2 linked regions of the Caenorhabditis elegans genome follow. The protein of the gene in region 2 interacts with the protein of the main gene of each other region in a pairwise test. Each region holds a gene or a part of one and is shown on either strand. Other genes may lie near its edges.

Region 1 (4,999 bases), on a different chromosome or scaffold from region 2:
CATACAATTTCTGGATCATTTTGAGCATCTTCTGAAAACTTTTGAACAAGGTTATTTCGAATGGTAACATTATTACGAACTCGGCTGGTCCGTTTCCTTCGCCGAAGTGTTTTCATCCAGCTCCTGGCTCGTATCCACTTCCATCAATTCTCCTGGTTCCATGGAATCACTGCAAAAATAGGACATGATGAAATATATATATATATATATATATGAATAAAAGCTTAGGAATTTATGAAATTTACACTTCGTTTGCAGCCATTTTCAGCTTTTAAGAAGACAGTAATGCAAAAATAAAACGAATTTTCAGAAAGTAAACGTGCCGCGCGTTTTGTCCACGTGGAGAACAACGTGGATACGCAAACACTCGAAGAACTCTGCGTACAATACACCATGTGCCCGCTTACAGTACTCCAGAAAATAAAATTTATTTTTCATTGCACACTTTTGTGCTCTGATTTCACTAATCATATGTAAATAAAACATTTATTTTACTTTTAATAATTTAAGAACATTTATATGATTCCAAGCCGAATGGACCATACGTTTCTCTGAACACTTCAGTTAATTGCGCTGTTTCTTGTAAGGACAAGAAATTTGATCATTTCTGTAATTCATGATTATTAAAATGATTCCTTCTGTCATGTGGTCGTTTTAATTTTGTGCAGTTCTGAATAATCTTGAATTGAAGAAAAAGGAAATAACTTTTTTTCAGGAATTGTAAAAGTCGTTGGAAGCAACAAAAAAAAATACGTACAATTGCTGTATATCACAGGAACGTTTAAGAAAATATAATATTAATTTAGTAGTAGGAATGAGGACGTGGATTTTAGAATTTTCATCGTAGTTTATATGCGTTGAACTATGTTGCCGGCTGCTGAACGTCCTCACGGTAGAATGTTGGCTGAAATTTGTATGTTTATTGAAAGATTAGGCAATATTCAGTATACCCGGCTCTCATTACTCGATCGTCCACTACCATTGACCTCGTCTTCACTATCCGAGGAGGAATCCTCATGGTGCAAGCGATTTCCCGTTTTTGGTTCACTTTCTTCTTGTCCTGGTGTGGCACTACTCAGACTGTCAAAGCACTGAAAAATCATGATATTTAGACGATAAAGTGTCAAACTTCACCGTACATGATCACAAACTCGGACAGGCTTCTTATGTACATTGTCAATACGGAATGTTCTCGATGAGCAGGCGCCACACACGACACGTCCACAATTTCTGCAGTGATGTCTTCTTTGAACCAGATTGAATTGAGTTTTCCCGCAGACCATACACTTCACTGCTTCACCATCGGGAACCCATACAGCTGCGTGAGCAGTCGCGGCTTGCTTATTTCCTGAAAGTAGAAAATTTTGATTGTATTTTTAATAGAAAAAAATAATTTATCTAAAAAACCGTTTTAATTTAGAGATATGGTGATTCCCAATTTTTTTGTAGAACGTATATTATTGGTCATTTAAATATGAGAATTTTTCACCTATCTTAGGCGCATGGGTCTCGCCAGGCGGACAACAAATTACTGTAACTTGTCGATCTATGGACCAATTTTGCATCACAATTTATAAATTAAATTGAACATTGCTGCCAACATTTTTTTAAATAAAAAGACCACAATGCGCCTAAGACTTATTTAAGCTTAATATTAATTAGACGAAAAATGTTGCGATTGTTGCATTAAAAATACGGTTTTCGGTCTCGAAACGACAAGATTTTTTGAAACGGAAAATGGTAAGCGCCTTTAAAGATTACGGTGGTTTCAAACTTTCTCTGCAATTTTTTGGTGGAAATTTTTTGAAAATAATTTTCGTGTATTACCTCTTTCAAGGAGATCTGTAACGCATCTCTCAATATGCAACATCCATTCTCGTTTTTCAGTTTCAGTTGCTGCATAAACTGCAAACGATTTTGCAGGTGTCTTAATAATCCATCCATGTTTCTCAATTCCATCGTCTTCCAGATCTTCTACTTGTACACCTTCCAATCTTAGAATTCTTTGCTTATTATATCGCTTTTTCGAAATCACAATGTTTCCATATACAAGAATATCATTGAACAAGAAGAATTGCCGTTGCTTCGGTTTCTTTCGGCACATTTTCACAAGAACACCTTCTCCGACAAGAACTCGTCCGAATACCGACAATTGTTCTCCCATTTTTCCAAAGCATTGTTCTACGTTAGCCATTCGACGGGAATTCACTTCACTATTCACTAAAATTTAATAAATTATTTTATAAAAGAAAATAAATAAAACTTACCAAGTCGATCAACCATTGTGTTTTGTGATTTAGAAACGATGGAAAGAATCCGCTGAAAACTTTGAATATTTCAAAAAATTCATAAATTTAGTTCGAGACGAAGAAGGTTGAAAATCATAACAAAAAATTATTTTGAGTGAGAACAGAATAAGAAGAGAGGGAAAAGGAATGTGATGAGTCATCATACACTTTATGTGCAAACAATCGGATGGACAAGCCAGTGGACCGCTGCCTGAACGAAAGAAAAAGAATGCAATGAATAAATTGTCACGAATGAATGATAAGAACAACTGGTGGCCTGGAAAAAAGGTTTCAATTAATTTTATTACTTTTTTGAATAAGATTTCGGATCTTAAATATAGTTATGCATGGTATGGGAGCAGATTTTGTAGGTTTTCCTTCTAATTAACAATAACAATCTCAATATATTTACCGAAAATAACTGTAACAAAATTACAAAATTTGAACATTGTTTTAAATGATTTTTTTCAATTTTGGAAAAAAAATGATTAAAAAGGCTAAACTTTTTCTGAATTCCCGCGCAAGTGATCTACACAATTTCGATATTTTTTGCTTTTTCCGGCTATATTAATTGGGGTTTCTTTTTATTTTATTTTGTTAATCTAAAGAACTTCTCTGAAACTCTAAATCTGGCCTCAAATCAATAATGTAAACTTGTTTTGCGGGAAAAAATGTATGAAAGTTTTACAAAATTATGTTTCGAATCAATAATTTAATAAAAACCTTAATAATATAACCTGAAAACGTCGAAACTTTAGGAATTCGTTTGCGCGGGAATTCAAAAAATAATTCAGCTCGTTTTTAAATAATTTTTAAAAAAATTTGCAATCATAAAAAATTCCATCACTTTCTAAAAAATAAATTCGGCAAAAAATCCCTCAAAACCTATACCATCTTTTTAATATTCACAGGTTTCTCGAAATAATCTGATTAAACATAAGCCAATTAGACCAATTTAGTTTAAATTGAGAAAACCGATATTTGCTGTGTGTCACCAATCCATCGGAAAGCGGCAAGAGTGAAAGAAACGCAGAGATAAAGATATAATTGATGACCAAAATAGAAGATTGTGGACATTCGGAACCATTTACAACAAGAGAGAGGTTGGAAAATCAAGAAAAAAGGTTTTATCATGGTAGTTTTGCGTAAAAATATGGAACAACAACAACAATTTTAAGCAACAACAATAATTCAACAAAAGGATTTTTCAAAAAGCCAATTCATTTAGCATGTCTTCTATTTCTTTTCCTGTTCTGATTATTTTTGTTCTTAGCAGTTCCAGAGTTATTCGACGACGAAATTTCATTCGTTGAAACCAAAATAACTTCTTCTTCAGGCTCCGGAACGAAGTTATTTTCGCGGATTTCTTTCAATTTGTCCATGAGATTTCTGAAGTTTCCCTTGCATCCAGTAAGTTCTTCTCTTGCTTCAAATGGTTGAATTCCGACGGCAAACGCTTCAAGTGGAGCAACAGGAGTAAGAAGAGAGCTACCAAACACTGGAGTTCCGATTAATTCAAACATCGATTCTCCTAGTTTTACATCTTTTCGAATCGGAGTCAAAAGGTGTTTTTCTTCTGTTGAAGCAGAGCCGTCGAGTATTATAATGGAATCTTCCTGGAAAAGTAACTGATATTGAATTTTTATTTTAATTTAATTTACTTCTCCCGGAGTATTGAACTTGTCAATTTTGATTTCATCACTTGTGATTACTATAACATCATCATCATCTTCATTAGCGAACTTTTTATGTTTCGGAGTTGATTTGGCTCTTCGTTTCTCCGCTTTTTCACTTTTCTTGAATATTTTCAGCAATTCATCTTGATAAACTGAGCAAAATACATCTCTTGGTGGAATCTTGAAGTCTTCACGCTATAAAAATGTAATTTCTAAAGTGACAACATATTTGTTCTTACATCATTTAGAGAAGATTGTTCTCCATTGAATCCTGGATACCATACAATTTTCGATGTATCTAATTCAGGAGGCTTCACTGACATTTCATCATCTTCTTTGGATGTCGAGTCGAAGAATTTCAATTGATCGGTGGATTTGATTGATCTGAAATTAATAACAATATTAAATTGCATAAATTTACCATTTTCATACTTTCTCAACCAGCCTGGCGGATATCCATCGATTAACCCAAGTCTTCTCATTCGATAAATGTGCTCCGGAATATCATTCCCACGCAATCCAAGAGCGGCTCTTAATCTATCGCTGATCACACCAGGTTTGAAATGTTTCTCTCTTTGTTTTGATATTCCAACGTCATTATAGAAAACTCTTTGCCTTCCATCACCAGATTCCCTCTTTTTCCTTGAAATTCGTCTGAAATCTTTCCGCTGAGTACAATCTCTCAGGTTGTGTTCGCCATCACAATTGAAACAAGACTGAAACAAATTCCTAGTTTAAGAAGCTTTGTGAATGAATAAAAGCTTACTATTTTCTTTCTAATGTTATTCTCCTTCTTCACAGTTACTGGGGTCGAAACGCTTCCGAGAAGAGTGCATTCAAGGCGTTTACGCCACTCGCTCGACCTGCAATGAATTTTTATTGGAAAAGTCATTGAATTAACTATATATTTTTTTACCCTATATCTTCTCCACTTTTTTCTACATCTTCTGCATTCAATTTTCTTTGTGGAGTGATGGTGCGATCAATGACGAACTTCTGAAAAACAAAAAAAATCAACTGAAGTGAATATTGTGA
Region 2 (4,582 bases):
ATATTTTTTTTTAAAGTATTTAAAAGAATTGTGTATTTTATTTAAATTTTTATTTTCAGAGAATTACTGCAGTTCTGATTTCAGCAGTTATCTTTCAAAAATACTCTAGAAAAACACTTGTTTTTGTTATTTCTGAGTTGAAGCAAGGTAGCTAAAGAATGAAGCAAGGAATTTAAAAACAGTGTTTCAGAATGAGAGACATAGAATTACAGTAAACCAGATACATTATAGACATTGAGAGCATCCTAATATTTGTACCTACTTCAAAGAAACTAACACGTGGCGCTTTGAAAGGGAGTGAGAGAAAGAGAAACGGAGGGACAACTCTATGTCTGTCTCTTCTTCTTCTTATTTTCTAATTTATATTTACATCTGCTTTCTTCTTCTCGTTTTCCCATCTGATGGTTTCCATAGTAAGTATCTGGGCTCTGATAAGCAAAGAGACGGCAGAGAGACTCGTGAAGGGCTTCTGGAGCAATAGTAGCTGCATGTGATGGACACTATTTGGAGTCTCCACCGTTAATCCCTTTTCTATTCCTGGAGGGATATTGGTGGGAAAGTGGATAGAAAAAGATAAAGCCTATGTTACACTAAGTTTATATAGAAAAGAGTTGAGCACAGATAGAGAAAAAGAGAGGGATTTGTTGAATTTAGATTTGGAACAATTGAAATAGTGAAAAACTGTTTTGCAAGTTCACAAGTATCCTGAAATTCATTCGTAGAAAATCTACATAGAGAATTGTCACTTTACTTTTGCAAATTTACAAAAACTGTCCTGTTGCGCTAAAACGGTAAAAACTGTAATGCCGCAGAGTAGAGGTCTCATTTGCAGTGATTTAATACATTTTCCATTTTTCATAATTTTCATTCTATTTAGAGACACTTCACTTTCAAACAACAAGGTTGCAACGGTGAATCTCTATATTTATAGAGATTTGTCATTCCATTCCCCGTAGATGGACTTTTCCCGTTTTTTTAGGTCAAGAGAAAACGGAGCACTATACTGCGGATTTGATGTTGTGTTAAAGGATTTGAGAAGTCTAGTTCTTCTGATTATTTCCTGATTTTGGCCGTTTCAAATTGGTCACACTCTTCCAATAAGCCTGTGGATGTACAAAGACTTTTATTCATTTTTATTCATTCAAAAGAATGACAAGAAAATTAATAAAAAGTGAAATGAATTTAACATTTCAAGAAAAAGGAAATTATGAAAAGTTGGTGACTGGTCCCCACAGTTGAAGATTGTAGATCAGCGCTGAAAAATAAAAAGTTAGTTTTTGAATAAAATCAAAAAAAGCTCGAACACTTACATTTTAAAGGAATTAGAAAATTTAATCAGACTCTCCAGCCATCAACTCCCAGAACTCCTCGAACTCAATCTTTCCGGAACCGTCCTCGTCAATCTCGTCGACAGCCTCCTCGAGTTGTTGATCGGTGAGGTCATCGGCGATTTCTTTGAGAAGAGCCTTCAGAGTTGGTCGAGAAATATATCCGTTACCCTGAAAAATTAATAATTAAAGAATAAAAAGCAAAATCTAAAAGTACAAACCTCCTTGTCGAAAAGACGGAAAGCTTCACGAAGTTCTTTCTCCAATGTTTCCTTGTCGACAGTGTTTGCAACGGTGTACACGAGAGCGCAGAACTCGTCAAACTCGAGCTTTCCGGAACCGTCAGCGTCGAACTTGCGGATCAGTTTACGAAGGGTCTAAAAGAATGAAGTTAGATGCCACATAGATTTAGAAAAATCAAAATCATCAATTCTATAACTAAATTTCATAACATATAGTTATATCTTACTTTAGTCGACATAATAAATGCTTTTGTTCAGATGGAATATCAAAATTAATTATTTCACAAACATTAGTAACATGTTTTAGTGGCGAAAATTAATTGAATTCAGTTGAGAAACAAGCCGCAGAAGATAGGTCGGATAAAAACAAAATTTTAGGCAAGAGTAACCCATTTATATTTTCGGTTATCTTACTCAGTTGGCCTACCTAATCATTACCGTGAAACCTAAATTTAAAAGAGTTGAAAACTTCCTAATTTGAATTATCACTCTTCTGAAGATCCCCTAACTCTACATAAACCAAAAGTTCCAAAATGATTTACCTTCTCATCGAAATCCTGTTCCATTCCATGCATGATTTGACCGATCTGAGTGGCCATGATGTATCCTTGCTTTCCTCTGTCGAAGGCATCGAAGAACTTTTGGTATTCTAGAAAGTTTTAATGATGATTTTTCAATCATAAATATAAAATATCTTACCCTCAATTTGGGATCCGTCGATTTCAGCAAGAATCTCTTCGATATCCTCAGCCTATAAAAGTATAAACATATAAAAATTCAAAAAGAAATTTATTGAAGACATGAGAAAGCGGGACTCACCATGTTGTCGGAGTTTGTTGTGCTCTGGATAAGCTTCGTCGGGCAGAAGCAACGGCGGGAGCGAGTAGGCGGAGGAACCCGAGGGCGGGCTTTTCTTTCTCACAACGGCATCATCGTCTCCTCCACAAAACACATTCTTGGTGTTACACTGGGTGACAGATGCTCCTGATCAACGGGCATGAGAGATCATAGAGGGCGAAGAGACGCAGAATGATATCTGTGTGGAAGTTGACGATGATTTTTGCGAAACACAGGATTCGAGAGACAAGGCTCTCCGAGAAGGAAGGGGAAACGGGAGGAGAGTACGAAGAAAGATTGGGGGGACAGGCAACCAAGGATCAATAAAAGTCCAGGAAATAGAAAAAAAATAATATAATTGGAGTAGAATTAAGTACAGAAATGGAGTTGACAGGCAATATATGTAATTGAACTTTCCCAGAATACTTGGATTCTTAGCTGTACATGGTGACCAGAACATCTAGCCTTTTTGGGCTTCAGAACACAACAACGTTTTTTTTTCAGTTTTTTTAAATGTGCACTGAGTATGTATATCTTTACAGTTTTATATCAAACGTTTAATTTGAATACTATTTTATAATTCTCAAGTTTCTCCAGTAACTTTTTATCGCGTGACACACCATTTTGAATTTAAACTTTATGTTTTTCCAATTCAGTTTAGTCGAGGGGGAGGAGGTAGATTTCTAATCATTCTTATTTATCATTTGACACTAAATTTCCGGATTTCAAAAGGAAACCATAATCGTGAGTTTGGAGCTAACAAGTAACTTCGGAAAACGTTATTTCTTTTGAAGAAGAATGTCGAAGAAAAAAGTGCAGAATACGAACAAAAAGATGAAAGAATGTTGGCTGACACCGATCCCACAGAATGTGGAAACTGTAAATATGACAGTTTCATTCAAGATTGATGAAAAAGATGTCGGAAAGCCTGCGAATGAAGTTATTAGAATTAATGAGAATTCGATGGTTTCTTTCCTATCAACAAACTCGTTTTACAATGGATTGATATTGAGTAAGTTTCCAACGGCCGGATAACCCGAAACTATTTTGAAGCGGGCCAACTTCATAACAGAATCTTGCAACTTCTTACAAACCATTATTTACTTTAGTTTTCTAACAAATTTCTGCAGCTTTTCAGATGACTCTTGCAATTTCTTTTGGCAAACTTTATGAAACATTTCGCTTAGAACTGCTCCGGTTTTTGCAACTTTGTAACATCTCTTGGCAATTGTTTATAAATGTTTGTTTCAAGTTGCAAGAGTTTGCTATGAAGTTGTGATGTTTTGCCGAACAAATGTATATTTATCCCCGATAAAATAATAGGCAAAAATTGGTTTGACTGGTACAAGGGTTTCAAAACTCTTCTGTCCACAATTATACATTTTGAGCCAGGAAAAGTCAATTTTCCTCGGAAGACTCCCTAGTTTCTTTTCCACTTTACACTTTTCCAATTAATGTATTAAACCAGTTTAAAAAACTAGATTAAAAATACTTTTCTTTCAGGCGACAAAATAGTCAAGGTGAACGGTGCCAGTGGAAATATATCCAAGTATCAGACAGAGCTCATGAAAGGTGAAACATGTAGTGTTGAGGTTACAAGACGGAAAAATATTATCCCAGCGACCAGAGAACGGTTGAAGAAATCGGGATGTGTTTTGAGACGGGACAATACGTGCTTTGTTATTGAAGTTGAAAAGGTATAATTGAAGAAAAATCGACATGATTATCTTATTCGAAAATATACGAAATCTGAACTTTGCAATGAGGTTTTGAACGGAGTTACAGAATGACCAATTAAATTCTAGAATTTTGCATGTTTTTTGAGTATGAATTGTTTTTAATTTAAAAAATTAAAGACGAAATTATGAAAGTTTTTTTGACGAAATGTGACGAACTGCTTGTTGCTTGACAACAAAAATTCTCATAAAATAATTGTTTAAAATAACTTTGGATTATACCTAGAACTTATGTCCACCCCTTAATAAATACCATTTACTCCAGACTTCCGCAATGAAAAGTGCAACGGTTGGAGTTACAGTGACATATATTCAAAAACGTGGCATAGTAACTCGAATCGAGCCCAGCTCACTCGCTTCGATATTCTTTGGTCGTGGGGATCTGATAATGGATATAAATGAAGAATCCATTCTGAACGCAGAGAAAAATGACGACTTC

Evidence for each region. The genes of interacting proteins can lie anywhere in the genome.
Region 1: the proteins of pat-10 (region 2) and ZK632.12 interact in a two-hybrid assay, tested with the Caenorhabditis elegans proteins (one large-scale study listed by BioGRID).

Annotation. Positions count from the first base shown.
Region 1 is NC_003281.10:9,828,122-9,833,120, reverse strand, and holds ZK632.12 (uncharacterized protein), read right to left. Parts: upstream 2,320-4,999; 5' UTR 2,284-2,319; coding exon 2,268-2,283; intron 2,221-2,267; coding exon 1,828-2,220; intron 1,349-1,827; coding exon 1,140-1,348; intron 1,092-1,139; coding exon 951-1,091; intron 905-950; coding exon 863-904; 3' UTR 698-862; downstream 1-697. Other genes in the region: ZK632.11 (uncharacterized protein), read right to left, coding at 3,509-3,904, 3,950-4,159, 4,204-4,348, 4,397-4,680, 4,731-4,827, 4,881-4,960.
Region 2 is NC_003279.8:5,017,672-5,022,253, forward strand, and holds pat-10 (EF-hand domain-containing protein), read right to left. Parts: upstream 2,416-4,582; 5' UTR 2,393-2,415; coding exon 2,390-2,392; intron 2,322-2,389; coding exon 2,270-2,321; intron 2,220-2,269; coding exon 2,113-2,219; intron 1,706-2,112; coding exon 1,550-1,705; intron 1,500-1,549; coding exon 1,332-1,499; 3' UTR 1,311-1,331; intron 1,256-1,310; 3' UTR 1,112-1,255; downstream 1-1,111. Other genes in the region: C46H11.6 (PDZ domain-containing protein), read left to right, coding at 3,206-3,419, 3,911-4,104, 4,409-4,582.